Styela clava: one gene and its partners. The protein of the gene in region 4 purifies or fractionates together with the protein of the main gene of each other region. This does not show direct contact. Links are inferred from orthologs where the notes say so. Each region holds a gene or a part of one and is shown on either strand. Other genes may lie near its edges.

Evidence for each region.
Region 1: the proteins of DNA-directed RNA polymerase II subunit RPB3-like (region 4) and mediator of RNA polymerase II transcription subunit 19-like purify together in Homo sapiens (affinity purification with mass spectrometry; 4 studies listed by BioGRID and IntAct, with this or other methods). This does not show direct contact. The link is inferred for Styela clava from reciprocal best matches to the Homo sapiens genes POLR2C and MED19.
Region 2: the proteins of DNA-directed RNA polymerase II subunit RPB3-like (region 4) and putative RNA polymerase II subunit B1 CTD phosphatase rpap2 purify together in Homo sapiens (affinity purification with mass spectrometry; 3 studies listed by BioGRID and IntAct, with this or other methods). This does not show direct contact. The link is inferred for Styela clava from reciprocal best matches to the Homo sapiens genes POLR2C and RPAP2.
Region 3: the proteins of DNA-directed RNA polymerase II subunit RPB3-like (region 4) and regulation of nuclear pre-mRNA domain-containing protein 1B-like purify together in Homo sapiens (affinity purification with mass spectrometry; 3 studies listed by BioGRID and IntAct, counting the BioPlex papers as one, with this or other methods). This does not show direct contact. The link is inferred for Styela clava from reciprocal best matches to the Homo sapiens genes POLR2C and RPRD1B.

Annotation. Positions count from the first base shown.
Region 1 is NC_135257.1:12,133,427-12,140,544, forward strand, and holds mediator of RNA polymerase II transcription subunit 19-like, read left to right. Parts: upstream 1-4,112; 5' UTR 4,113-5,431; coding exon 5,432-6,115; 3' UTR 6,116-6,737; downstream 6,738-7,118. Other genes in the region: AP-4 complex subunit beta-1-like, read left to right, coding at 6,761-7,118. UniProt on the Homo sapiens protein: Component of the Mediator complex, a coactivator involved in the regulated transcription of nearly all RNA polymerase II-dependent genes.
Region 2 is NC_135259.1:4,730,508-4,738,367, reverse strand, and holds the start of putative RNA polymerase II subunit B1 CTD phosphatase rpap2, read right to left. Parts: upstream 3,013-7,860; 5' UTR 2,912-3,012; intron 2,478-2,911; 5' UTR 2,435-2,477; coding exon 2,427-2,434; intron 2,134-2,426; coding exon 2,019-2,133; intron 1,504-2,018; coding exon 1,405-1,503; intron 689-1,404; coding exon 540-688; intron 29-539; coding exon 1-28. Other genes in the region: organic cation transporter protein-like, read right to left, coding at 7,466-7,559, 7,657-7,860.
Region 3 is NC_135260.1:17,609,102-17,616,231, forward strand, and holds the start of regulation of nuclear pre-mRNA domain-containing protein 1B-like, read left to right. Parts: upstream 1-4,130; 5' UTR 4,131-4,272; intron 4,273-4,731; exon of another isoform or gene 4,732-4,779; 5' UTR 4,780-4,858; coding exon 4,859-5,009; intron 5,010-5,245; coding exon 5,246-5,375; intron 5,376-5,620; coding exon 5,621-5,733; intron 5,734-5,917; coding exon 5,918-6,105; intron 6,106-6,548; coding exon 6,549-6,675; intron 6,676-7,029; coding exon 7,030-7,130. Other genes in the region: solute carrier organic anion transporter family member 4A1-like, read left to right, coding at 172-345, 588-641, 803-973, 1,073-1,288. UniProt on the Homo sapiens protein: Interacts with phosphorylated C-terminal heptapeptide repeat domain (CTD) of the largest RNA polymerase II subunit POLR2A, and participates in dephosphorylation of the CTD by RPAP2. Transcriptional regulator which enhances expression of CCND1.
Region 4 is NC_135263.1:18,252,070-18,259,885, forward strand, and holds the start of DNA-directed RNA polymerase II subunit RPB3-like, read left to right. Parts: upstream 1-4,811; 5' UTR 4,812-4,965; coding exon 4,966-5,088; intron 5,089-6,146; coding exon 6,147-6,272; intron 6,273-6,492; coding exon 6,493-6,621; intron 6,622-6,659; exon of another isoform or gene 6,660-6,893; coding exon 6,894-7,023; exon of another isoform or gene 7,024-7,111; coding exon 7,112-7,265; exon of another isoform or gene 7,266-7,337; coding exon 7,338-7,509; 3' UTR 7,510-7,533; coding exon of another isoform or gene 7,534-7,816. Other genes in the region: lysine-specific demethylase 5A-like, read right to left, coding at 1-3,015; uncharacterized protein LOC120341062, read right to left, coding at 7,534-7,816. UniProt on the Homo sapiens protein: Core component of RNA polymerase II (Pol II), a DNA-dependent RNA polymerase which synthesizes mRNA precursors and many functional non-coding RNAs using the four ribonucleoside triphosphates as substrates.

The DNA of each region.
Region 1 (7,118 bases), on a different chromosome or scaffold from region 4:
TACTTTGAAGCAGAAAACTAAAATATACACTTTTTTGTATGATTGAAATGACGTTTTTTTTGGTAAAAAAGAAAAACGATTGGGACTTGTGATGAGGGGTCAAATTTCGCAAGTGCCTGATTTTTCATTTTTTTCGATTACAGTTGCCACATATTTTTGCAATACTTTTCATAAAATCTTTTTCGTCAGAACTTACTAATCATTGCTTTTTAAAGGAAATTCCTAGTTCTACAACAATTTCAGCGTTTTTAATATTGCAATGAGCAATAGCATTTGACAACATATAGATAACCATCGTACTTTTTGGATTTATTTGAAATTGAATAGGAATGATAAAATCTGGCAACCGCAAGCACAAAATACTAAAATCAGGCACTTGTGAAATTTCAGGCACTTTGTAAAAAACCATTTCCCGATGTTTTTGATTACTTTAAAGCCGAAAATCCAAATATACATATTTTGTATGACTGAATTTGGTATTTTTATTGTTCAAAACAAGAAGAACTGTCACTGGTAAAAATGTGGCAAATTTAGCAAGTGCCTGATTTTTTGGTTTTGTCAATGATAGTTGCCATATCTCTATAATTTTTGTCTTTTTTTTATATGTTGTTTCCCTATTGCATTATTTTATAAAAGTCAATGTTTGTATGAGAGCTCCACTTAGCATAAATGGAATTAAACTTTTAACATCAGTATCTACATCCGGAAATCGGTATTTAATTAAACCAATCACGCTTTTGCAAAACTATTTGAATATTGTAAAGTTTGAATGACATTGTGTTGTTTATTTTTTTTAAATTCAAAAGTATGACATATGTATTATTTAAATACGGGTTTAAATTTGACAGATCTGTAAAGAATATTAGTTATTCAGACGACATCTTTATAGTAATGTTCGGAACCCTTGAAATTGGTTCAAAACTTCTACTAATTTGTTATAAACATTTCGACGTAATATATTACCCAGGTAGCAACAATCGCATTGTTATAAAGAACCTAATTTGTCTTCTGGCAATATTAGTTCGAAATTCCAGTTTTAATTGTTATCGGACGACGATTTTAATAATGTAATTTTGGCCTATGACTTCATATAAACTACATAACAGAAACAATTGACTTATGTCGTATAGAATTTTTTATAATACGTATCCAAGTTACATTATCCCCTAATAGAACATAATTTACCGTTCACAAAATGTATAAAAGCCTGTGCAAAATCCATATTGACAACCAGCGGTGTTCAACCACGGCTACAATAAAGATATTCAATCACTTGCTGTTGCTGTTGTATAATATTCTTTACAACCTGAAGATCTGACTGTAATATCTTTTCATGGATAGTTTATGGAATGGATTTCATGGATAGTTTACGTAGAATTATTTGTACATTATTTCATGCTGTAACAGCTAACTGTAAAACACGTAGTTCCTAAATAAGAAGAATGGCTACAGGATTGTAAATACGAGATGGCAATGTCACCTAAACAAAATTCACTCGGCGAATGACATCAGGTAGCTGATATGCCCAAAGTTAGGCTTAAAAGCATCGTTAAACGAATGTTACAATAAAAATCCTTCAATATTCAACACGCCAGTAGTCAGTCAACGAATTTTTTTGCGTTATTCAAAAAGTTACAAATATATAAAAACGTAAAACAGTTTTTGTTTTTAATGTCACAGAAGCCGTATTAATCTCTCGATTATAGATCTTTCTTCATCAGTAATTGGGGATATAAATTTGAATTTAAATTTATTGAGGAGATAAAACATTAAAAACACAACTTCACAAAGGAAGTGTATGAGTGAACACTAATCGAAGCTTTCAGATTAAAAATTATTAGAAATATTGAGTATCCAATGAAAATCCTTACTATTTGTTCTATTTTGACATGATATGATTTACGTATCTTGCAATTAGGTAAAACCACAGATCTAAGAATTGAAAAAAAAGAAAAAGAATTTTAAATGTCAGTTCTGAAATTGAACATGAAAAGGTTTTGTGTATATTTTGCTACTTTTATATGTCGGGCGTATAGTTTCTTCATGTCGCGAAAGAGCATCAGAACAGGTTGTGCAGAAAATGGTGCTGCCGTAGTATGTGCACAAAGTTGGCACATAACCCGAACATAGTATGTGTACCAAGATAGAGGTAATAGGTTGTGCGCCATCTTGGAGCACATAGGCTACTACGGGAGCGCCCTGAAAATACCCACATTTGCAACACCGACTTACCGAATACAAATTTTACACTTCCACAATTTCGCTTTTGATACTTTCTCACATGTATCATGATACCAACGCTTGCAAACGAAGCATTGATATTGTACGTGCTCCCGTATACATTTCGCACTTTAACAGACACTCCAATTATTATTTTCCAGAAAGCAAAATTCATGCATCGGAATGTCAGAGTATATGAGTGGCGACGATGCAGTGCGACAACGTTCCAAATGTGATTGAATTTTTGTTGACTCCGACTTGTTCAATCTTCCATCTGGGCGTTTTGAAGAGGTATGTACTCACTTCCAATATAAATACTTGCACCACCTTCGGGCAGACGTCGAATTGAAATTAGCGATAAGAATAGCACTCAATATACATCGGATTGCCTAAAAAAACATTTTACCGAGAAAGCAAAGTATAGTAAGTACTAAGTTCTGACGAAAATGATTTTATGAAATATATTGCAAAAATATATGGCAACTGTAATCGAAAAAAATGAAAAATCAGGCACTTGCGAAATTTGACCCCTCATCACAAGTCCCAATCGTTTTTCTTTTTTACCAAAAAAGACGTCATTTCAATCATACAAAAGAGTGTATATTTTAGTTTTCTGCTTCAAAGTAAGTATGAACATCGAGAAATAGGTTTTTACAAAGTGCCTGAAATTTCACAAGTGCCTGGTTTTAGTATTTTGTGCTTGCTGTTGCCAGATTTTATCATTCCTATTCAATTTCAAATAAATCCAAAAAGTACGATGTTTATCTATATGTTGTCAAATAATATTGCTCATTGTAAAAACGCTAAAATTGTTGTAGAACTAGGAATTTATTTTAAAAAGCAATGATTAGTAAGTTCTAACTCAAATAATTTAGAAAAATTGTTGCGAAAATATATGGCACCTGTTATCGAAAAAAATGAAAAATCAGGCACTTGCGAAATTTGACCCCTCATCACCAGTCCCAATCGTTTTTGTTTTTTACCAAAAAGACGTCATTTCAATCATAAAAAAGAGTGTATATTTTAGTTTTCTGCTTCAAAGTGTATAAAAACACCGAGAAATATGTTTTTACGAAGTGCCTGAAATTTCACAAGACCACTGTGAAGCTAGCAGCATTTTCAGCCAGAATATTTTTACATATTGAATATAGTTTCCACGCGCATATAATGTTCACTTATAGTTACATATAAAGATTGAAAGATTGCACAAGTGCCTGGTTTTAGTATTTTGTGCTTGAGGTTGCCAGATTTTATTATTCATATTCAATTTCAAATAAATCCAGAAAGTGCGATGGTTGACCATATGTTGTCAAATGGTATTGCTCATTGCAATATTAAAAACGCTCAAATTGTTGTGGAACAGTGAATTTGCGTTAGAAAGCAAAGAATAGTAAGTGCTGACGCAAATAATTTAGGAAAATAATTGCGAAAAAATATGGCAACTGTCACCGAGAAAAATGAAAAATCAGGCACTTGCGAAATATGACACGCCTCCATCAGTCACAAACGGTATTGTATTTTACCAAGAAGTTGTAAATTCAACCATACAAAGTGTTTATATTCAATTTTCTGCTTTAGAGTAATCAGATACATTGTAAAATAGGTTTTGACCAAGTGCCTGAAATTTCACAAGTGCCTGATTTCTATATTTTGTAATCAATGTTGCCACATTTTACTATTGAAAAATTATTTATACCCTAATAAATTGGAAATAATATTGTTTTATTGCAATATAGGGATGCAAAAATTATTTAAAGTCCAATTATCTTGTCAGGTAAATTGGAAATCCCAATGACGTACGGTAAAAATAAAAAAATATCAAAGTGCCTAAAATGGTGCCTGAAAAAGTGCCTGAATTCGCGAGTGCCTGGTTTTAGGGAGACCCGGTTATTGTTTACCATCATCTAAAGCCCATGAATTTTATTGTTCAAATGAGTGGTCGTAATACTTACTAAATACAGCGCGAAACAGCGCAGAAGAGAGGGAAACATTTTTCTTTCATTATTTATAAGCGTCCGTAAAATTTTAAACAATTTGATGGGAAACAGTATACAGTTGTAGGGAATGATCCGAGTTTATATCAGTAATCTTCAATGTCTTTAAATAACCTAACAATACAGCAATGCGATTTTCTCTGAATTATATATTGAATTTGTTAAAGTACAGTACTCTCTATTTGGCAGACCAGCTTTTCTAATAATCATTTTCAATGCGAACGTTAATCACATCAGCAAATAGGATTGGAGTTGAGTTCGATGATCGCATGGTCGTGACTCGTATCACTCCCTCCCGTCCATATCAAAGCAATTTTTATTTTATTTTCGTTACATTTTTTTTCGTATTGATGACTGTTTGTATCTTGGTTGACAAAGTACCAAATATCTCTCTCTTTTTTATACGGAACCAGGTTCTGTGGATAAAAAAAGGGTTCTGTGGATGTGATCACCATTGTACTTGATTAAAGTGTAGTAATACAATTTTACACATGCCCTATACAACTATACAATAAATCTGATGTAAAGTATTGAAGAGTAGAAATATTTTTTTATCAGCCGACTCATTTTATGTCTTTATTTTATAATTTCATATTTTTTTAATCCATACTGACAGTTCGACCACAGCGTAAAAAAAATGGTCGGAGCCTGCATACTGACCAACACGAATCAATGTTTAAATATTCACTGTACTGTATTTCTATAAAAATCTGTACCTATTGTCCTTTCTTAACATTGTTTTGTGGAAATAAAATCTCTCTCTCTCTCTACCGTTATTATACCTAGTGAAAGAGGGGTTTGTACTGTTATAATTGTGTTTTAATGTGGGGGCTATTTTTGCAATGGGAAACGGTCCCTTCACATGTTCTGTGTCAAATTTAGTATTTCAATTGGCATATTTTATGATAACAAATATAATGAAATAAACATATATAATCAATTGCACAGGGGTTGCTTAAGCTTCTGGAATGTTTCATTGGGTTCTGCCCCTACCAAGAGGTTGAAACCCAATGGTTTATCAGGTTGTATAATTATTATTCTGTAATATATTTGAAATAATCTTTTCAAAGATGATGACCAACTTTTGATCGATATATTCATGATGATGCATGAGACAATCAGGTTAATCTTTAGTCTGTCAACCTCTTTAATATTTCGATATTGTTTGAACTAACATTAAATTTCATTTTTCCAGCTTTAAGTCATAAACAAGTAAAATGAATATAAGTTTGCAAGGTGGCGATCACCAGATTCCTAGCTCCGGATTAGGTAGCCATCCTAATAATGATCGTATGAATTTTTCACATGATTTTTTCCAACAGCCTGCCACAATGGAGACACAGCAAATGAACATTGAAAAATCTGAACCTCCTGTGTGCACTTCTACTGGGATATATTTATTAAAAGATCAGGTTGAGCCATCAGTTGTATCGGGAAGCACAAATCTTCTAGCACATTACAATTTAGAAACAACATATAACAAATTTTGCGGCGGAAAGAAAGTAAAAGAAAATTTAAGTTCATTTCTTCCGGATTTGCCTGGGTTTATTGACACACTTGCAATACAAGACAATAGTAGTTTAAAAGCGTTGATCGATCGACCCCCTGTTGGTAATAAAGAAATTCAACCACTATCACAGCCTTTATTATCAAGTTTCCGTTTGCATCCTGGGCCTTTGCCTGATCATTATCGTTCCTTATATCAATCAATTGACTCAACACGACGAAAAAGCAAGCATCATAAAAAACGTAGGTCAGACCCAATGCAAAATACTCATATTAATGAAGGAGAAGAATTTGAGCCCAGAAAGCATAAAAAGAAAAAACATGAAGATGGTGAAAAGAAAAAGAAGAAAAAAGAAAAGAAAAAGAAGAGGGAAAGAGATAAAGAAAGAACCTGATTTGCAGGACACACAAGAATATTTTTTGCCATCAAGTTCAATCATTCAAAAAAACTTGAGGGCGAAGTGAATCACCCATTTGGGACTAGCGATTCAAACCGGCAGATAGTTCTTGTTAAAATTGCAGATGGAATTTCAGGGCAATCAATCATATATTATTTGAATAAAACTTGCTGTCCCATTGATTCATCTTCGTCAATAAACTTGAACAAGAAAGAGCTATTTATAATAAGATGCGAAATGATAATCTCTTCTCAAATTATAGTCTTACTTTATGTTTGAATATCTTGGCCCTTTGATATTTCAATTGTACTGTTTTGGTCATAATTCTAGTCAAGAGGATTGTATGTACAGGTCTATATGCATCAAATCATATGTCGCTAATGGATTATGACGGGGGCTCTTTCATCTTATCAGCAAATATGCTGTAAAAACGGAATTTACTGTGATAATATTGATAACAGTTTTGCTGTAAATTTCATGTCATTTGCTTGAGATCCTGATTGATCAAATTTGGAATAGTATTTATATTCTATTTCAGAATATTACAGTTTATCTTTTCACTATATCTTAGGCCTTATTTTTAAATTATGTCCATCTTTTTTGTATTTTCTTTTTTAGATACTAAACAGCTCTATTGTTAGAATGAATTATGATTCCTCCCATGATATCAGTCGTAGACTTTCTAAGGAATTATCAACAGACTTAAATAGGAATTCTCAAGCAATATTGGAAATACTGAAAGATCTTTTGAGAATGTGTGATGGTGAATTACTTGAGTCTACACGTGTGTTGAATTCGGTTATACAGCTGACTCAAGTTAAAGATGTACGGGTGAAAAAGATTGTATATTTGTACCTTTCATTTGTTGGGGAACATGATTCAGAAATTTGGTTGCACATCACAAACTCTATATCAAATGACTTGTTGGATCCTAATCCATTTGTCAGAAAAGCTGCTATTCTTATTCTGACTGATTCCCATTCAATATCGTCTTTACTTA
Region 2 (7,860 bases), on a different chromosome or scaffold from region 4:
AATATTTGGAATTGTGATATCTGGCATTCTGAATGTTAAGAGAGAATATTAAGAAATTATAACGGTTCCTGTGACAGAGCCTTACTCTGAGTGAAGACTATAACACTAAAGTGAAACTATCTAGACAAAAATGACTTTTTGTTCATTTCATGCACAAAACAACTTTCTGATATAGGTTGAAAGAGAATACATTTTCACACAGTTATTGATATCAAAGAGATAATACATAGATAATTTTAAAAACTGAAGTCAAAGGCTCATTCATATTCATGTCACATGTGTGTCATCAAAAATCTGTTATTTTCTTCAATGTAGGCTATTTAATTTACGGTAATTCATTTTTTTGTATGCAAGACACATTATTAGTAATAATATAAATCTTTGAAATCAATAATTGAAGAATAATCAGAGTTAAGTTTATAAAGGATTTTAATCTATTTGCCCATCTTTAGTTCTGTGACTCCCATTAATGCTAATAGGACTCAGCAGAGGTAAACAGGGTAAAAAAATGTCAGTAAATAATGAGAAACTACACTTACAGGTCATGATTTCGTAGCCACAATGGGGTTGATGATATTTGTTCTAGTATATTGGATGATATTGCGTAACACCGATTGCTACAAAATTTCTTCCTTTCAGTTATATCAAACACTTTGTTCTTGTTTATCTTATATTGCTGCGTTGGAATCTATTGTTATCAAGAAATCAATAAATGCATGGTTAATAACAATTTATTTAACAATGCTTAAAAATAAGCAATTTCAATCAACAAATGACCAACTTTAGCCCCAGACACTGGACGAAATTTTTTCACTCCGCCTATAGGTTGAAGAACTTTCAACAGTTCAGAATGCTTAATAAGCCTAATGCCTTTCAGTCGGAAATTTCAACATTGATTACCATCTCTCGACATCTAAATTTTTTTTAATTTGGCACAGATTCCAGAGTTTTGAAATATATCTAAATATATAACGATCATAACATCATTAGCTCTAATATTTGTTTTCGTTTTCAGGATTTTTTTTACTAAGCAACATCTTTTTCTTTTGATCTATATCCAAAAAACACTTGCCACTTTTTTCTATATTACCAATAAGAGAACAAGATAAAATAAGGTTCATATGGATGAAAAGTAAAATATCTAAGACCAAAAACAAGAAGCCGAAAAATTACTAGGTCGGGCTTCTAAATTTTGAAGTTTGACACAGGTTAAAATATTTGCTGATGAAAATTATTGATTATTGTGGAGAAGACCTTTGGTACTTTTAATCCAAAATACCCAGAAATAAAAGAAATCACTGACACACATTGAAGTGTAATAAAATATTTTGAGTTTAATGTACCATGAATATACAAGAAAGCATGCATAATTTAAACAGAAAATAAAACTAGCAATACACTAACTTCTTTGAGCTTGTTTTTGCATAGACAATAACCGCATAAGTCGGATAATGAACGTTCTTCTACAGCATCTGTATAATGTTGCCCGGTGATCAACTTCAGCTAGTATATATAAACTAATATATATAAACATCTAAAATTATCACCCATCTAAATTATGATTGATTATTAGATAGTATATAAAGTTTTTACATATCATGTTCATAAAAATATTTACCTACCTAACTAATTGAATTTTATTTTAGAATTCAAATTTATCATGTGCAAAAGTATATATTCAGGATGTTGGTATTCACAAGGGTGCAACCCTTATATAACATGGGTGCTTCGCTTTCAGACTATACTGCTATAGGAAATAGATGCTTGACAATTGATAAACAGAAAGCAAAAATAAATCCTTTCCTTTACCTAAACATAGCATCGGCATATTTCCCCTATTTCTGCTTGATTAGAGTAGAAACATAAACAAATCTGTAAGAGTTAACGTTATATTAAAGATTTAGAGCAGTTCAAATCAGTACATCTAAAGGATAACAGGTGCTATCATACTGTCATACAAGAGAAATGATTTTTTATTGATAAACTTAAGTTGTGAAATAAGTTCAATTCAAGCATACCCAGGACAAAAACTGATCTTTTTGAACTTTTTCCTCGATGAGTTTTTCTACAATCGAATGTGCTTGTTTTTCTGCTAATTTTCTTTTTTCATATTCTTCTTTTATTGAAGAATGACTGTTAAAATGTATCACAATGAATAATAAATCTTGATAGTAAAAAAATTTTTTAATCAGTATTTCATGCTCTTCACATTTATGAAAAACTAACAATGATGATTTTGGGCGGTTAAACCAGTTTACAATCATCGAATTACATGAACTAGATTAATATTGCCGTATTGTCAAAATAGAAATGGGTGTTATAAATTTGATCACGAAATCCAACACTGAGCTCACGTTGGATTGTCGATATTTATGAATAAATTTATTCATAATATATATAAATGAATAAAAGCAGTTGAAACTCACCTCGCCATAATAATAATTATAATGATCTTTCTAATCAAGCAGCCAGGAAATCTAAAATGATGGCAATTACGGAGATAATATGAAATAAAACAAAAAGGGGGATTTCCCAACCTAGGTCAAAGGGTTCGAATTATTTTTTACTATATGGATAGGATAGGATTTACATATTTATCCCGGGGGAGAGGAAAGCCGATAAGACGGCGTATCCATATGGCGAACCACGGCCTCTCATCCGGTTACCATTCCAAGTCGGGTATGGGATTAGTTTTACTGTATTGTTTGTTTTCGGAAGCATGGACTTGGTAGTAGAGGAAGCCGTAACCGACCAGCGGTTAGTTACGTGAACCACCCAACGACGGCTAGGAGTCCAGCAATCCTCTCGCACAGAACCATCCCTGCATGGGATTCGAACCTGCGAACCCACGCAGAGTAATTAGAGGTGCGGTTGCGAGCGTATTCCTAACATTTAGCCCGTTGAGCCACACCGTCGTCGTGATTTGCAGGTCTTGTAATCGTCGTGATTTGCAGGTCTTGTAGTCGTCGTTTTATTGTGGACACAAAATTGACCTAATGATCTTTTTCAAAATTGTTGATTTCATTTAACTACTGGACCAATGAATCTTTCCCCGACCTTTGACCCCCCAAAAAAATTATTCCTATAGATAACTTGCTCGGGTCATGTGACATGTTTAAGCCGCCATTTTTAGACGGCAAAAAAAAAACATCCGGACCTCGCTCCTGTTGGTTGCAAGTCGTGTCGTGTTATTCGTTTCCGTTTTGCTTGGCTATTAAAAAGGGTTATTTCGTATTGTGCTGTACGTTAAACAACGAAATGGATCTTCAGTTATATTCCATTCATCAATGGTCAGAAGACATTGTTTCGTTAGTTAGCATGTAAGCAAAGGCATATCAGCTGACAAGCGAACGTAATCCTCGCTTCGCTAAGATTTGTTTGCGGGGAATGGTGAACTTCGCGGTACTGGTACCTAGTGTTATAATATAGTGGTGATTCGGAACGCTTGTGTTACTACATTTGTGAATCAGACGTGTCCATATATTTGAGCATGGCTCTCTTGTTCATTTTTTTTTTTCAAATTCCTGTGGGTTCAATGGGATTCGCTTTTCACTCTGAAGTTTTGTTTGATGCCGTGACCAAAATTTAAAAAAAAATGCGCTCATGTGGCGGTTTTCGCAATTGTATTTCAGCGATTTCGCGCTCAGCCATGTCCGGAATTTGGGGTACGATGAAGGTAGCCTACTTACCGGTATTGCAAAAGATTTGATACTGCAGTTTGAATCATTTGGTATTTTGAACCACGTTGATACTGGACGCATAATTCCAATTTCATTGCATTTATAATATTTTCATGATGACTTATTACTAATACGTGGTATCGCTCTTGCTCAAGTGTTGCTTGTTACTTATCGATTTTAATCGGCAAGTATGTTAATAGGTATTTGTCTGTCTGTCTGTCTGTCTGTCTGTCTGTCTGTCTGTCTGTCTGTCTGTCTGTCTGCCTGTTAGATGCACGTGATATCTCACGGAGGCGAGATTGAATCTGCTCCAGATTTTGCATGTGCTTGATTTTGGATGATTTATGTCGTATAATTAGCGAGTTATCAATTAATTAGTGATGGGACACAAGGTGTCATTATGGAGTAAGATCGCTGTTTTGGGGATCCCCTAACTTTCGATCGATAAGTCTTCGGTCTCTGACCGATATTCTCGTTTTGTTTTATTGTTTTTTGTTAGGTGAGAAATTTGGTTTCATCACATATATTTTCGTTGAGGTTTTAAGTGCATTTCGTTGTCTGTTATTTGGATCAATTCGGACTGAAACCTATGGGCAGGGGATATTCACTTGGCCAACACAGACAGCCCCCGAACTCGTAATAGAACTAAAATAATAAAAAAATCGAAATAAAATTATGGTCTAACCCTAATCTGGTACACATACTACGGGAGTACCCTATTGTGTACTTATTGACTTCCGAGAATTTCAGATTGGGGTTCACTTTGTTAACGTAGGTATATTATGGACATCCATACCCCTATCAAAAATATAAATCTACAATTTGTCATCTGGGTATTTGTGCTGGTCTTACATTGCAAAAATAAAATGAATCATATTAGTTCTGTTGATATTCCGCATAACATTGTAATTTTTAATTATTTATAATAACTCTCCTCTTATGTATGACCCAGCCTTGAAATTGAATACACTGGAATAGGTTTCAGAGAGTGTTTGGAATAATATAATAATTAAATTTGACCACTCATATTCTTTTATATTATGTTCAAGCTATGGTGTGAACATAGTAAATGAAGTTTTAATATTCTTTTTTGACATCCTTGATTATATATGTATATATACATCACACGATACTATTCGTTTTATTTTGAATTGGATTTTGAACTTTTTTTATAAAAAAATGAAATTTCTAGAAAAATTTCCATCTTGAAGTGTCATAAACTAACTAAATCTGCATACCACAGCCAATCCTGAAGACTAATAGAATTTCTGAACTTAGTTGTCGTATTTTAATTACATATTGTTTATTTAACTAACAATCGGGGTTACGTGAAACTAACTACCTTTCCTTGCTCTATGCCTTTGCGCAGATGGATCCGTATGCGTATAACGCAAGGATGCTATAGCAAGAGTGAAAATACCTATTCTATTCAATTCAAGAGTCTTGCTGCACACTTACACAAATATATTTCTGTAACGTTTCGTCTGACCGAGGTCAGACTTCTTCAGACAAGCATTTTACAACTATGACAAGAAACGCAATTGCATGCACATAAATAATGGTATCAAATGTTTGGTCTGTTTCCGATAGAGAAAAATAACTAAGATTGGGAGAGAGCCAGAACAATAGGGAAGCTAGATTTGGATTGTACTCAATAAGTATCCCACAGTGTAGTGAGTAATAATTGAAAAGTAAAGCAAACAATTTCGTGCTGTTTTCCCGTAACTCCGTCTGCGGCGTTGGTTGAGTTCATGTAAGTGTCAAGGCTACAATGTCAGATAATGACTTAAAAGTTGAATAAAAATCAAGTATAAGCGCATAACGGAATATAATGTTCAAATTAACATAAATCAGGAGTTTAACCATCTCTCAAATTCATTCCTAGAGGTTCCAATGTTTTGAATTTGTTGATAAAATAAGGTTCTTTTGTTTGTCGGTATGCTTAATCTCGATACAGTTTTTCTAGTCCGATTACCAAAAAGTCGTTGATAGAATGGCCTAATTGACTGAAATGTTTGCCGACTGCGAGATCTTTGTTCTTTTGGTTAATGCTTCTGATGTGTTCTGTAATTCTGTACTTTAAATGTCTGCCTGTTTCGCCGATATATTGCTTACCGCACTTCTTACAGGTTCTTAGATATATGACGTTTTCCGAATTTCAGGGAAATTCTTGGATTGCTGCTTAATTGAATCCCTGTGATGCTGCTAGTGCTTGTTTAGGTTTCTTTTGAATATTTGCAGGTAGTGCATGATTTCCTGTTGCATTTAAAAAAGCCTGTTTCTACTTCTCTTGGTGATTCCGGTTTCAGCTTGGCCCTAACCAGTTTATCTCGTAATGTCGGGCACTTTCTGTAGGCAATTCTGGGGGGTGCAGGGAAGATGTTTTTCAATCTTTCGTTATTGTCTAGTATATATTGATATTTTGAGAAAATTTTTCCGAAGTTTGGTTGATTTGGATGGTAATTAGTAACGAACGGCAATAGTGCGCCCCTTCGTTTTGATTTTCGTGTCAATGTATTGGAGTTCCCTTGTGGTACACGAAATGTACATACCGGTATGGATCATTTTGTTACTCTTATTAATCATTCTTTACTTCTTGAGAAAAAAATAGCTATTTTAATTATCTACTGGACCAATTGCTTTGAAATTACCAGTGGTTAAACATTGAATTTGTCGCTAGAAGGCTATATTTTGTGGACTCTATAAGATTAGTTTTGTGTGTGCGATGACGTTATCAAATATAAAAATTGCGCACCCTGTGGCGGTTCCGCGTCTGCCTTCGTTGCTAGCTGGTGGTCAGGCGCAGTGGTGAAGACTGAGGTACCGGTAGTCCTCTGTGAAAGATTGCATACCGGTACTACTTCATTTTGACTTTCGTGTCCATATCCAAGATCTAGCTAGAGCATTGATCATGTTGTTGTTGTTCTTGCTAATGATTATTTTTATCAATTTGTAAATATGTTGTAAATATCAAATATGTTGCAATACTAAAATTTGAACACATCATTCACGTACGGAAGCACGAAAAAGTTAATATTACTGTGATGGATTCGCAAAAGTACTCGCGCAGTAGTAGTAGCAATAATATTCAGTAATGATATTCAAACTAATTTCAGATTTGTGGTAAGCGATGACTTGATGAAGTCATCAAAATATTGAAAACTATTGCAATTCTAGAAAAATCGTTGTTTTTGACCACTATCGATCCTGGCAATCAGCACATTGTCTCTCCGAAACTATAGGTCAGATTGTAAGTAACTAACGATTAGGAAGTAAATTGAATTTTTAGTGTTTATTGAACATCCAGAAGAAATGATTCGCGGTCATTATATTTTGAAAATAAAATGGATGGGGGTGACTATGGAGAGAAGAGACCCCTGAGAAGAATTACCTCCTGCTCAAACTAAAAACATGGTTTCATAGACGTCGAAAATCAAATAAATAAGGTAAATAAATCATTATTTGTGTCGTCTGTCGATAATATTAGGTAAACAATCCATACATTGAAACTCAATTTATTATAGATAACTAATAATCTTGAAAACGGCCAAATAAATTCACCAGAAATCTCCCATGAATACTAGCATATATTTTTGTCATCATTTTTAAGATCGCAAACTTCGCACATGTGTCTTGAAGGGATTAACAAAGAATTGCTAGCTCATGTAAATCAAAGGAAAATATAACATTATGTAGGTTGAAAAGTAGCAGTGATATTGCGCAAGTGAAAAAAATGTTGTGGAGTTTTGCCTTGAGTATGCAAGACCATTACATGGTATCCTCAGTTAGCTCGATTGTGTTGTTGTCAATTCAGAATCCGAGACTACCGATAAAACACTGTGAGAAAACAAATTACTTTGCTTTTGTCGCAGTGTACTCCTGAAACAAAAAAGGAAATTGTTTTATCATTTAAATCATTGTAGGCCTACTGTTGTTGGTGATAGTGTATTTGCGAAAAATGTAGCACACAGCAAACCTTCCGGCATAAAAGTGATCGGCTTCTTCGAGAGTTTCTGTCATTGGCCTATTGATTGTTTCTGGTAGTCGAAAAAACAACGCGCCAGCAATAATTGATAACAACCCAAACATTAAGCTTGGTAACCATAAATGAGATGTTGAAATGACTATGGGCGCAAGAATGCTTCCCAAGCTGGCTGCTACAGTTGACACACCAAGTCCG
Region 3 (7,130 bases), on a different chromosome or scaffold from region 4:
GTTTATTTTTCATAAAATGCGTGATAGTTTAGCAGAGTTGTTTCATGTTGCTCTTTTAACGACATTGTCACAAGGGATCGAAATTTTCTTCGGAAATGGCTCGTAACCCCTGGATACGTATCACGGAACAGTAGGGAGCAATATGATCCAACCAATTCATCCTTTTTACAGAATTTTGACAACTGCTCAGGAGTATTGGATTCATCCTCAATCAGCGAAGTTTCAATGGCGTCAGCAATTAAGGGAAAATGCGTACAAGATACATGTCAAAACATGGGACTATTTGCAGTCATCATTGCACTAGCAGTGTTTTTCATATTTTTAAGTGCGCAACCTGCATTACAGGTAAGAAGACTTTTCCAACAAATACGAAACTGTTATATTTTATGCAATAACACCCATCTATAAATGTTTTTTAACCAATAAATTGACATTGACTGTCATTCCACCGCCAAATTTGCAACCTTTATTTCCTACCTATATTTGAAATGTTACGGAATCTATATACCAGGAAGTTATTTTTGAACAAAACATATTATATGTTTTTTGAATTTTCTATTATAAATAATTCAACTTATCATTTACAGGCTTCTCTTCGGGCTGTCCCTTATTTCCAGCGTTCATTTGCAATTGGAATACAGGTACTTAATTAAACTTCTTTTCTGGTATTTGCCACATATTTTGATTAGGTGTTTCAAAAAGTTTTCACATTTATTGCTGATTTTTTTATATGTTCGCGAAAGCAAATGTTCGCAAATTTGAACCACCGTTCGTTTTAACACCTACAACAAATTTTTTTCAGTGGCTGATCCTACGACTGCTCGGAAGTGTCCCCATGCCTAATATACTCGGAGCAGTTTTAGATCTGTCCTGTACGGTATGGGGAATGCAATGCGGAGTCTGTGGATCTTGCAAAATATATAACAACCAAGATATGTCAAAGTATATGACGATTGTACTAACAGTGGTGAAGGTACGTTCATATATGTTGCAATACCATACGTTAATTGCATTGAAGGATAAAAATACTCGTTAAAAATACTCAAACATTATTATATGTCTTGTTCCACAGGCGTTTTCGGTGTTTTTTTTCGCGTTGGCGTGGAAGACCTACAAATCACCGCCACCGAAAGCCGACGAATCCGAGAGTACCGCTGTTAAAACGACGTGTTCGCCTACAAAATCAGCTGACGCAATTCAAGGAATCGCCATGACTGAAGTTGATCACAAGAAAACTTTACCGGAGGATCGAAGCCATGATAATCCGAACTTTGTGCCCGATTCGTAATTTAACGTGGTGCCGGTTAACTAAAATTAAGTGCTAACGAGAATAGACTGAAAAGATATTCAGCCATAGTGTACCTCATAATATATTCCGGCAAGAACACTGCAAACGAGAAACGACGAAAATGTCTGCCGAAACAATATTTCCAGGGCATCGTTAGTGCAGCAATTCGAAAAAATGCCTTTCTTGGGATGACGATAATTACGTGACAAATTGAAAAAATGATTTCATTGACAACGAATATCAATCTTCGTCTTTGCATAAATGAAAAGATTCCTTCTCATTTAATAAAAACTATAATCTTGATTTAGTTAATCTGAAAGCATTCCAAAAATCGACATTCAAACTATTTTTCGAAAATAGTATGTATACTGCCGAAATGACGTTACTAACCCTACGTATATAGGCTAAGTAATTTGCTAGGATGATAAATTAATTTGAGCTAGATGTGAATCAGTGCAATTTCGTAACCAATTCCATCAACTGAATTTATCTTCAATCTACTTTTATTAAACTATAGTATTTATTTATTCTAGCATTTAATATTTAATTTCATATTAATGTGATAATGTTTATGGCAATAGACAATCCAATTGTAAATAAGTTTTATTACAGCAATGTCGTCATGCACTATTTTTTAAATTTTTTGAATGATTATTTAAGAGACATAAAAATAAAAGTCGGTACAGGTTTCCGCAAATTGAAAATTTTCATTAGTATTCAAGTGGGAGACTTTAATAGAATATGAGATATGGCAATATATAGCCAGTGACAATACAGAGCACCTCCGGTGCGAGTGGACAACAAACATTTCTTGGTCAGTAGACTTTTATTGCAACGTTAAGGAATCCATTGAAGCAGTGTTAGAGTCCCTGAAAAGAAATGACTTGACTTTATAGTTTTATTCCAATATATATGTGCGCAAAGTCTTGAATCTAGCTCTATCACACCAACCTAACTATTCAGAATTTTTTCTTAATATTTAATATAGAAATAGAATATATTCAAAGAGGAAACAATTTATTTGAAAAATTACGATATTATTCTATATATCTTAGCTTTAATCACATTTGAAATAGCGCAGATATTAGGATAATTGATGAACCCATGCTTTTTACTGCTTGGTTGATGATATAGAGAAGTGCTTCTATTATAGAAGTAGTATGCCCATGGGGGGACTTCATTTTGGGGGGGGGGGTGGTAAATAAATAATACACACAAATTAAAAATGGAGAATCCCGGGAAGCGAGCAAAATCTTTAATGCAGTTTTAAATATGAGAAAAATCATGTGCCCGCTCACCAGCACACTTTCGTAAAAAAGTTACAAAAAACACAAACTTTATTGAAAAAAATTGACGAATGTTTGGAACTTTCGGGATGTTGTACTTTTAAAATACTTCAGCTAATAATGATCCATTCAATCTGATACAAAGATAACGTGTGGTAAGTGGTGGTGAAAGGATAGTGTTTCTTAGAGATGGTTGCTTGGAAGAAGCATGTTTAAATATTCATTGTAAAATATTATCTAATAATATAAAAACCTTTAATTATAAACTAATGTTTCAGTTAAAGTTAAACCAAGGATTAAACATATTTCTGGAAATGATTTATGTGTATTTTGTTCTCAAGCACCGGAATTTATATCTCATTTATTTTGGAAATGTGCTGAACGCAAAAGGACTGACGTAATCTGCAAGAACCTATGAATAATTGTATTAATTTTTATTTTTCTGCCAACGATAATTAAAAAACATGTGAAATAATGTCTATTTACTGTTAAACATGGTGAACTTTATCTGGAATCAACAATGGAACAATTTAAATTACTTGATAATACTGGATTATGTTTATGAATATATTTATTTATTATACGTGACTATGTTCTATGTTTATTAATTTTTCACCATTTATTTATTTTTACAAAACTGTTTCGAATCCACAATGAGAAACCTTATAAAACAAGAGAGCTATGCTCAAATATATGGACACGTAGAGTCACATAATTTTGATGACGTCATAGCGAAAAAAAAAATATAGCCTTCTGGAGAAAATTTTATTCTTCAACCACTGAAAATTTCAAAGCAATTGGTCCAGTATTCGAAGAGAAAAGCGACTTTTTAAGAACGTGTCAAAGAACAAGAACAACAACAACAACATAATATTGAAACGATCGTTATGTCCACTACGTGTCCAAAAAGACAACGTGTGGGATGCAATGTGATGAAGTGGCCTGGATAGTCAAAAGTCATGAAGAACTACACTAATTCGGCATTGGTGAATGATGATAAAGTGGTTTAAGATACATACAAACTTGAATCAACTATGCCAATACATTCTATGCTCGGAAACTCCTAAGTGCAATTTCAAGTATTTTGTGGCGTCTAGAGCTACATTAAAACCATGGCGGGATTTCCAAACCATTGCGCTATGACCAAACCAACGACTGGACCAAACCCATTGCGACTGACTTTTTAACAGCAAATCGAATACCATCAATTTTGCTGCCGTAACCATGGCATGTCGGCTGTAATAGTAGGGCTGCCACTGATGGTGATAAATATTAGGGTATCTCCTGAAGTATGCGCTCCAAGATGGCGCACAACCTGAACTCAGGTCGTGTATCAGCTTAGGGTTCCGGTTGTGAGGCATCTTGCTGCTCATACTTCAGGAGTACCATATCGGGTAAGTTGGAACGCTTTTTTTATAAGTACAGTTTTGATGTATTTGGGGTTGGGTTTAAGTCGATATATTTCCGCATGATAAACTACAATATTGTACATGACTTTGTAAATATACCGGTAATACAGCGATGAAACCATGGCAAGAGACGCCGCGGTACGTTCGTGGCAGGAGCTGCCATGAAGTGGTAAGAACTGCGCCTCGAAACTCCGGTAAGCTGGTGCGCACACGGTAGACTCTGGCTATTTCAATTGCCAGTTCTGCAGTTAGATGATAACTTCGTGAGACTTGATTCTAGCCAAAGTAGGTATTCAAGTCGCAAATTTGTCTAGTTTGGTTCTCTTATGAATAGTATAGATATTAGATAGGTATGGCAAATTATGCATTGTTACCGTATCGTATCTCGAGCAAAGTGGTGCCAATAAAACTAACGGCGTGACATTTATTACTGTATTACACTTACAGTATTATCTGAAATTTGAACTCGTGGGTTTTCATTTTTCCTAAAAAGGAGAAATTCTGAAATTGAAATTGGACAATATGGTACCAATGCAGCTAAAACTGTACGGTACGGTACCTATAATGACCTATATGACAGAATGCGATCCTAATTCTAATTGTCCGTGCGTAGACGGCTTTGCTTGTGTGGCTAAAATCTAGCCCATGTTCACATGTTAGTTCAGTCTCCTTCAGCCTTATTTTGCCAATTTTCAAAATGACTGAAAAGTGCCTAATTCACAATTGCCTTCTTTTGATCTTTTAGTCTGTATAGAATTAGCCTATAATATTAATATACTGATATTATTCGTTACAGTACTGCATGGTTCTGGCTGTATTCCTGGTTTCCGGGTTTTGTTAGATAGACATAGTTGGTGACCAGGTAACGGTCCAACATGTCATCATTCTCAGAAGCTGCACTTGTGGACAAGTTGTCTGAATTGACTAACTCAATGCAGATCATTCAGACACTGTCTTTGTGGCTGATACATCACCGTCGTCATTCAAAAACAATTATACAAGTTTGGCAAACAGAACTAATCAAAGGTAATGTGAAATGATTTTGACAGTTTAAACAATTTTCTTGACTTATTTATCACAGTATCATAAGATCATTCTGTTGTGAATTATTGTAAAAGAACAGGAGGGACTAGCAGTAAACCCATTTTTTTTCAAAACAGACAATTTGTAAGAAAGTAGGCTAGTGAAACTTTATTACGGATCGGGTATAACTAAGTATGATATATTTTCAAACAACATATTAAAATATATCTTCATTTTAGCAAAAACCAGCAAAAAGTTGACCTTCCTCTACCTTGCAAATGACATTCTGCAAAATTGCAAAAAGAAAGGTCCAGAGTTTCATAAAGCATTTGGTGGAGTACTGATAACAGCGTTTACTCACGTTGCTAAGTATATACCATTTGTTTATGTATTATTTAATTTTATATGTTTTTTTTTCGTTTATAAGTTCCAATGTAAATCCACAATAATTTTAGATTTCATCTGTGGAATTCAAAAAAATGTTCATTCTGGTACAAGCAAATTGTATAGATAAAATTGGAAACTTAATTATCTGATGAACATCTACCAATGTAATGCTTAGTTTGCTATAATTGCTATTTATCCCTCGATATCCAAAACAAATTTATTTTCAGACATGCTGATGAAAAAACAATGAAATCCGTTCTTCGTATTCTTGACATTTGGCAAGAGAGGGCTGTATTTGAAATGGAATATGTCAATCAAATAAGGAAGTCTATAGGGAAAGGTAATAAATTGGATTTTTCATCCATGATTCATACATATTGATGCTGCTCTGCATTATAATAAAAAATGAGTATATTTGTTTGTTCGAATATTGCGAAGAACTTTGGGGTTTTAAGATTTGGTCATGTAAATTCATAATTCCATGATTAAAAATAGTGAAATTACTTTGTGACCATTTCCAACAGTATCAAAACAAACAAAGCAACCGAAAACGAAGAAAGTACAGCCAACGAAGAAAGTTGCAGTTGCTGATTCATCATCAAAAGCTCCAGAAGAAGAAAAACCTGTAAGAAAGAAAAGCCGACTCGATGAATTAATAACAGAAGAAGAGGATGATGATTATTTAACTTTATCACCGAGGGATCCTCCAGAGGTTGATTTTTTATTTAGCATCATTTGAAAACTCGCAGCAGTATGTAAAAGTCTGTAGCTTAATGAAGTAATTTAAATATTTGTGAGTATGATCAGGTTTTTGTACTTTGATTCACCAAATTCATACATTTACTGAAACAATCCAAAACAAGACTGCCAGAAGAAAAACGAGGTACTCAGGGTAAAATTTTATAGCATAGAAATTAAGATAATCCGGAACCTTCCAACGTAGGAATGAGATCTACCGACTCATCTAGTAGGAGAAAGACAAAATGTTTAGAATAACATTGTCTGTAATATGATATTCATACAGTTAAGCCTCAACGTGAAAGAAATTTCAAACCTAAAGCATCATATTCATAACTCCCATAAGAATTTTGTCAGGCAGGTTTAGAAAATAACAAGAGAATCTTCAACCTATTTTTATATTGTTGTATCATCCAGGCTGAAGATCTAGTAAAAGCTCTAACAGAATTGGAGAATGCGGCCTCTACAGATGCAGCAGTTCGTGAAAAAATTGCAAGTTTGCCTCCTGAGGTTCAAGATATATCAAGACTGGATAAGATAGCTGGTAGGTTTTTCTACATCTGAAAACCTATTGTACTGAGATGTCTACTGAATTCTAGTTGATGTTATTTATTGAGATGTAATACTAATGCTGCCATGTCATGGGTTAACTAAATAGTGCAGTTTAAATTATGTGATCAGACTTATAAAACAATTCTCGTTCTAAATATTTAATTGTAGGCAACATCACATGTTGAACTACTTATATCTTATGGTTTTCTCTCGGCTTTGCATAAAATTTTTCATATGCACATTGGCTATCACATTATATTAACATACTTCAGTATATCTAAGTAGATTGTGGAATGTGAAATATCAGTCCTTCTTGTTACTATAACATATTTATGTCATAATTTAGATATTGAGAGTGCAGAAAAGTTATCGGCAATAGTGGATGAAGCTTGTCTGCTTTTAGCCGAATATAATGGTCGACTTGTTGCTGAAATTGATGATAGAAGA
Region 4 (7,816 bases):
CAACTCAGCCATTGCACGTTCAACAGCAGGCCTAGGTGACACAGACACTCCAGAATCTATCAACTTCCTTAATTGCTCCAATGTTATCAATGATGGTGGAGGATCACAATCATTTATTTCATCGTCCAAAAGGAGACAAGATCTGACTTCTTCTAACCACTTTGCTTGTTGTAGTGCGTGGTGTAGTAACGTCACCTGTGGAAGTTCCAGATCAAAATCTAGTGAATCCTCTATCAAAACAGCAATGTTATGACTGCAAGGTTCTTCCTCTTGCAGAATAATTTCAGTTTGAGTAACAAATTTTTCAATTCGCTTTATATAATCAGAAACCTGATCCAAGTTTGGAATTGTGCATGGTAAACCTAATAGTTGTAGATAAAAAGCCCTTATTTCTTCCAGCGTCAATAAACAAGTATTTGGATGAGTTATAATACCAGCTGTGGAATGAATTTCTTTTTGCCTAGTCCTGTGCTTTCTAACCACAACAAGCTGTTGGGCAACTCGTGAACACTTTTCGGCTTCCCGTACAGCTGACTGCAATTGATGCAGCAAATCATTTTCTGGAAATTTCCCTTGCACAGCTTCTTCAAGCAATTCTTTCAATTCGTGTAATGTATACTTGTTTTCAAATCTTGAAAACGCATCGCCTAATTTTGTAGTCCATGTATCAAAAGACTCCGCTCGCAATTTCATCTTATGAAGCAATGGAGGTAATTCATCCAATGTGTATCTATATCGAAGTATAAATTTACTTGGATCACAAGTGCTGCAGAGCCTGTTGACATGGAACGTACAGACAAGGTGATCTGGTCTACATGGGCATGTAATTGCGGACAAAAAGCATGCTGTTTTGCAGATGAAACACTGACGTTCATCATCGGGTACAACCTCAAAAGCTTCCCTTTCAGCTTGACATACACCAAGCTCATGAAGTTTCTTTCTTGCTTCTCTTTCCTCTTGCAGCATAGCAAGCATATCTCTGTAAACAGCAGCTGCAAGTTGAACATCTAAAACGTCAGGATTATTGGCGACTTTACATAAAATTTCTTCGTGTGAAAACACACATGCTCTTTTTACTGCGCGATAGTGAGCAACAGATTGTCTGCCAATAGGTATCCAATCAGCTGGACAAAAGTTCACGGCTTCTGCAAAGTTATATCCCTGATTAAAACCTGCATGATATGCCCTGGGGAAGGTAACAATGAATTCACCCGCACATTGGTTAGTTCGGACAACTCGCACACCATTGTTCATCAGAGTTGAAGGATTGATAGTGGTTACAAGATGATGCATAACATCAGGGTGGTTCTTGAATAGGTCAGGTGCGGTATTTTGCATTACTTCTTCCAGTTTGATTGCATCTTCTCTTGGAACACCATACCAAGTCTTTGGTTCTCCCCAGTGAAGATAATTGATAGAATATGTCCAATGATCTTCAATGTGCCAACAAAAAGCAGAGAAGCACATACCGACATAAACCCATGGTATTTTCATTCCTGACATGTCACCAGTCATATAACTTAGTAATGATTGTTTCGCAACTGGTAGATTGTTTAAATTCCATCCACTTTTTGCATAATCCTCTTCTTCAGCAGAAAGTGGATGTTTCTCTTTGTCGCACATTCTAGGAAATCCACTTCCGTGATTAAGAACATGAATATCGGCGCCATACTCCACTGCAACATCCTCTTCTATTGATCCAATTAATCTCCAGAATTCTCTTTCAACCAACTCAGTGGGGATCATGTGAACAGGTTTTGTAAAATATTCTGACTTAAAAGCATCAGCCATTTCTCCAAAACTTTGTAGTGTGTATTGCTTTCTTGCTTGTTCAAAACCATAAGCGTCTATGACTTTGTTGCATTCTTTAGACAAGCATTTTGGACATCGCCAATCCCCTTTGGGAACTTGGTTCAATGGTGGAATCAGACAGTAGGTATGGTAACTGTCATCACATCCATCACAGAGTAAAAGTTGAGTGTCATTGTGATCCTTCAGACAAACTTTACAATTACCCATTGTATCAAGAATGGAGTATGGGAGCTGTTCTGAACCCTTCTTTCGTGTGTTTATTGAGGTTGTGTCAACTGTTGCGGTAGGAATTGCAGTTTCTGGCTTTATCTTAGTTTCTATTTCCCCGTTGTAATCCATCAAATCAAATATATTTTTGCAATCCTCATTCTTCGGTTCTATTTTGATAGTAGCGGGTGCAGGTTCACTTTTAATTTCTTTTTTATTTGCCTCTTCTGATTTTATTCGATTTCTTCTCTTAGCAATTAATCCCAGGCCTACCATTTTTGGGCCTGCACCAAAAAGCTGCAATTTGGCAAGTTCTTTGTTATTTGATACGTCTACAACAAGAGATGGATCATCTATAGTTCTTCTTTTATTTTTCTGGCGGGCAGCTTCACTTTCATCTTCTTGCTCTCTCTGTGGTTTTACCTTGCTATTCCCTCCATATCTTCCTGAAAAACTTGGAAGTGGTTTCCCAGAGCCATCAAGGCTCTCAAGAAGAACGCCAGAAACCATTATGTCATATGGATACAGCAATCTTTCATAATGTTGTTTTATTGTTGCAGAAAAATTTTTTGCAACTCCTAACTTTACACATGCGGCATTCCATTGGCGGTTCTTGCAGACTTCTTCAAATCCCCCCAATTTCCTTACGGTCTCATGGAGACCATACAAATCTAAAGGAGAGCCGGCAATGTGTGGCAGTCTGAATGTAGTACCCTGTAATTCCCAAAACTTAGCTACTTTCTGAATGAATTGAAGTCGAATCCGAGTTTGAATACCTAATTCATTAAGTCTCTGTATTCTCGGTGTAAATTTGAAATTTTCTACGTCAATAGCAAATGGGGGTTGCCAATAAGGTGGAGGCCGTATTTTACAAATGCCTGCTTTTTCTGCTATAGGTCTGATCTTAGCAATGTATCCAAGTGGATGAGCAAATTCTTCTTCGTTTGGCTCAAAAACTGGAGCCTCTGGAGGAGGAAAGAATTCATCATCAAACATATTGAATTTTTACATACAGCAGCTTATTAAGATCTTTAAATATGAAAACAAAATTCAGAAAAATTAATATGGATCTAATTAGATAGAATATACATATTCATCCCGGGGGAGAGGAAAGTACAGCCTAATCATATGGCGAAGCATGGCCTCTCATTAAGTTACCAGTCCATGTCGGGATGGGATTAGTTAGCCAGTTATTAGTTTTCGGAAGCAAGGACTTGATGGTGGAGGAGGCAGTAACCGACCAGCGGTTATATGAACACCCTATGGCGGCGAGGAGTCCGGAAACCGTTTGCACATAACTAACCCTGCATGAGATCGGAACCCACGAACAGTAATCAGAGGTGCGGTGACAAGCATATTCCTAACACTTAGCATGATGCGCCACACCGCCGAGCCGGGAAGAGATATTTCAATTTCCTTAGCATGTCAATTGAAAAACAAAATCATTTGGTTGAGTTGTAATTCTGTTGTGTATTTGCACAATCTTGTACATAAATTAAGAATTTGATCACATTGAGAAGATATCAAAATGCTTTACTAAAAATTTAAATTGTCAATACATCATTTGCATTGAATATCATGTACCGGTAGGCTTACCGGTAAATAGTTTTATGTTTTTGTATATTTCCATGAGACAACTTCGCTTTGAATAAAGCCGGAAAAATATTCAACCATCACTGTCATCAAATATTCTTACAACTTCAATTTATTGGAACAAAGATTATTCAATTTAGTGATATTTAAAAATGATCATTCATCCTGATATGTTGATTTGGCTAACTAGCAGAAGCCTAAATAAGGAGCTTACAAAGTGGGACAAGGTATCTGATCCAATCACAGAAATACTTTTTTCATCTGTAGTTTATTAATTTTTATGTGTTGACATGATTCGGGTTGTAAACATTCCATTTTACACCAAATTTTAGTAAATTTGACAAGAATTACCAAGATGGAATTGGTACACCAGTCATGAGGAAAGCAAATTTTTATTAAAATCAACGAACTCCTGAATTTGTTTGATTAAGATTATAATTGACTAATATTACGAATGATTATGCCTAAACTCAACCCAATTCTAAACTCAAAATTTCAAAGTACTGAAGTATAAGGGTGGTCTGTGTTTATCATCCTTCATGCTGGTTAATATTATAAAAATGTTTTACTTTTGCACTGCTGAGGCAGGTATTTAAGAGCAAATTTCATACTAGATAATAAGGAAGCAACAATTTCAGTATATACAGCTAAACGAAGGCGATAAATTCAGAAATCTCAGTACCCCGTATAGCATTTTTACGCTTCCTTAACGACTGACTGAACGGCGTCGGAAAATCGTAGATGAATTTAAATACACATCACACAGTCACAACATCGCCGTATATAAAGGATCTCACGAGAGAACGCGCACAATCAGATTGCATACCTTTTAAACTTAAACATTCCAAAAACTTTATTTAATTCAACACAAAATTGTTGCGCGAAATGCAAAAAATCCAAACAGTTTTTAGATTCTCGCACACACAGACATATCGCCAAAATTGGATCTACTACATTATTATTTCTACGCTGATTTTCATACCAGGAAAAATCTGCCGAACGGTTATTTAATCCATGGCAAAAATATAACTTAAAATTATTCTAACTAAAATAAATTACCACACAGAAAGGAAAAATATTAGACGCACAAGACCCTGAGCACAATCCGTCGCCATTTTCGCTACGTGACCACTTGGTGTCCGTAAACACAAAGAAGAAAAAGGGCAATGACGCATTAAGATGAGAAAAAAGTTATTTCAGCAGAAAATAGAAAAAATGCAACCCGGCAAATTGTAATTATGTACGAATTTTGCATTTGCTCTGTTCTTTCCAGGGGCGTATATTGAGGGGTTCGATTGTGTGCTTTTTTATTATTCTGGGTTTAGCGCTGACAAATCGAAGACAAACAATACAATGCCTTACGCCAATCAGCCTACAATCGCAATCACGGAACTTACGAAAGACAATGTGAAATTTGTTATTGAAGATACAGATCTCAGTGTTGCAAATTCACTCCGCCGGGTATTTATTGCAGAGGTGAGAATTTCTGATACCGGTAACCGAGAGGAACAGGATGGAGAACCCGGAGAGTTGGCTAAACCAAAGTTGGGTTCGCAGGTTCGAATCCCATGCAGGGATGGTTATGTGCGAGAGGATTGCTGGACTCCTCGCCGTCGTTGGGTGGTTCACGTAACCGCTGGTCGGTTACGACTTCCTCCACCACCAAGTCCATGCTTCCGAAAACAAACAATATAACTAATCCCATACCCGACTTGGAATGGTAACCGGACGAGAGGCCGTGGTTCGCCATATGGATAAGCCGTCTTTTCGGTTTTCCTCTCCCCCGGGATAAATATGTAAATCCTATCCTATCCTAAACTTGATATGAGTTTTGAACATGCCACATAAATGCACTAACGTGATGTAGGCAATTCAATATGAAAAAGCTGTCTTATCGACTATCCTCTCCCCCTGGATAAATTTTGAAGTCCTATCTTGTTGTAACATAGAACGACTTAGAGATACCGTACTCCGACACAGTCTTTAAGGGTATACCGGTACCCTAGCTGCTGAATTACCTTATTTTTTTATTGCCCATATCGGAAGCCGTGGAGCCACCCTTTTCTGGCGAGGAGTCTAGAAATCCTCTTGCACATAATTATCTCCCACAGGATAATCAGAGGTGCGGTGGCGAGCGAATTTCTAATACTTAGCACAATAAATCACATTGTCTAGTCATACCCGACACTCGCTTTCTATTTGCTTCCATGGCCATTACAGTCGTCAACTCCTAAGCTATCCCAGAGTCATCCTCAACTTTTAACCTTTGCACATTTTAATAACTCATTCATTAATAACTTCATTCTTCTACCTGTACGCATGCATGAAATACAAATGTCTATAAGCATGGCATAGACTCAACAATAAAGATTACTAGAGTTCATGTTTCAATCTTATGAACTGGACTATCGGTGAATTAAAAAGTAGTGAAGTGTTATCCATTCTAATATTCTATATGAGACATGTTTCTTTGAAAAATTGTTTGTTTGTTGTGACTGCCCGCCTCACATTACTCTATTTAAATATATTTTAAGGTTCCCACACTTGCGATTGACTGGATTCAAATTGAGGAAAATTCTTCAGTATTGAATGATGAGTTTTTATCACATAGGATTGGATTGATTCCATTAACATCCGATGAGATAGTGGACAAAATTCAGGTAAATAGCAATAAGTAAAATTCAACCAAGCATATTTGAACGGGACCTATAGCCAGCCCATGCGATTAGGTCATTTTGTCTGTTCTCTATCTCTCATTGTTCCTCATTCTATGTATCATACCTGGTTAGTTGATGTACTACGGTAATTAATACATAAGATTATTCAAACCAAAGTGATCATTTTTTATTTTACTGAAGAACGTATTTATCCTGATTTCAGTACTCAAGAGATTGTATGTGCGATGAATTCTGCCCAGAATGTTCAGTGGAATTTTATCTCGATGTCAAATGTACAAGTGAAAGCACGCGACAAGTTACTACTCGTGATTTAATATCCATGAATCCAAAGGTAAAATGGTATTCTTGAAATCAAAATTATCCATTAGATGCTATTTTTTTATTTTATTTATTCTGCAGTTTCATGAGAAATACACATTTATTTATTATGGAATGAACAAACACTATCTGACTTTTCTACCCAATGTCTCGGTCATAATCATATCCAAATATTTTTTTCCAGTTTAAAACATTCCCATTATTTTGCTGGCTAATAGTGATTGCATAAAACATAAACATTTTGTGTAACAAATGAATTGAATGCCGTTTGCATGTTAAACTAAGGTTGTTCCAGTTACATCGAGAAGTAGAGGAGACGAGGTTGAAAATTATGGAGAACAAGATGACATACTGATTGTTAAATTAAGAAAAGGACAATGCCTAAAATTCAAAGCTTATGCTAAAAAGGGATTTGGTAAGCGGGTTTCTTAATGTCTGTCTACTGTATAATGCTTTCGATGAGAAACATTCGTTGGATAAATGAAACTTCAATATAAATATAGGAAAGGAACATGCTAAATGGCAAACAGTTTGTGCATGTGCTTTCGAATATGACCCAGATAACGCACTTCGTCACACAACTTATCCAAAACCCGAAGAATGGCCTAGGAGCGAACACAGTGATCTCACAGATGATGATGATAGACATCAAGCAGAGTAAGTTGTCGTGGCTTGGTTTTATTAAAACCACAATGAGCTACAGTAGCCATTAAATTTATTTTTGTTCAGATTTGATCCGAATGGCAAAGCAAACAAATTTTTCGTCAATGTGGAATCTACAGGAGCCATAAAACCAGAGAACATCATTCTGTCAGGGCTCTCTGTTCTTAAGAAAAAGCTCAGTGACCTCCAAACACAGCTAAGCCATGAACTGCAGCAAGATGGACTAACTATCGCATGATGATGCTGAGAAACGATCTTTTGGTCATAAAGTACCACCACCTTCTGCATCACTAGTTTGTCTGGCTTCAGGTGGATCTACATAGTTGAACATTTTAGGACCAATTTTTTCCAGATGATTTCTGCCACGTTGTCGCCAGAGTTTTTGACACATTTGTAATTTGATACATCGTCTGGCTGAACAGTTGTTGCACATCCTGTACCCATCTACAACTTTCCACTGCTCTTGTTTTAATTCTGGTGCAAGGACATTTTCGTTCTCGGGATTTTCCAATCGTTTGAAGATGATGAGTTCACCATTACTTTTT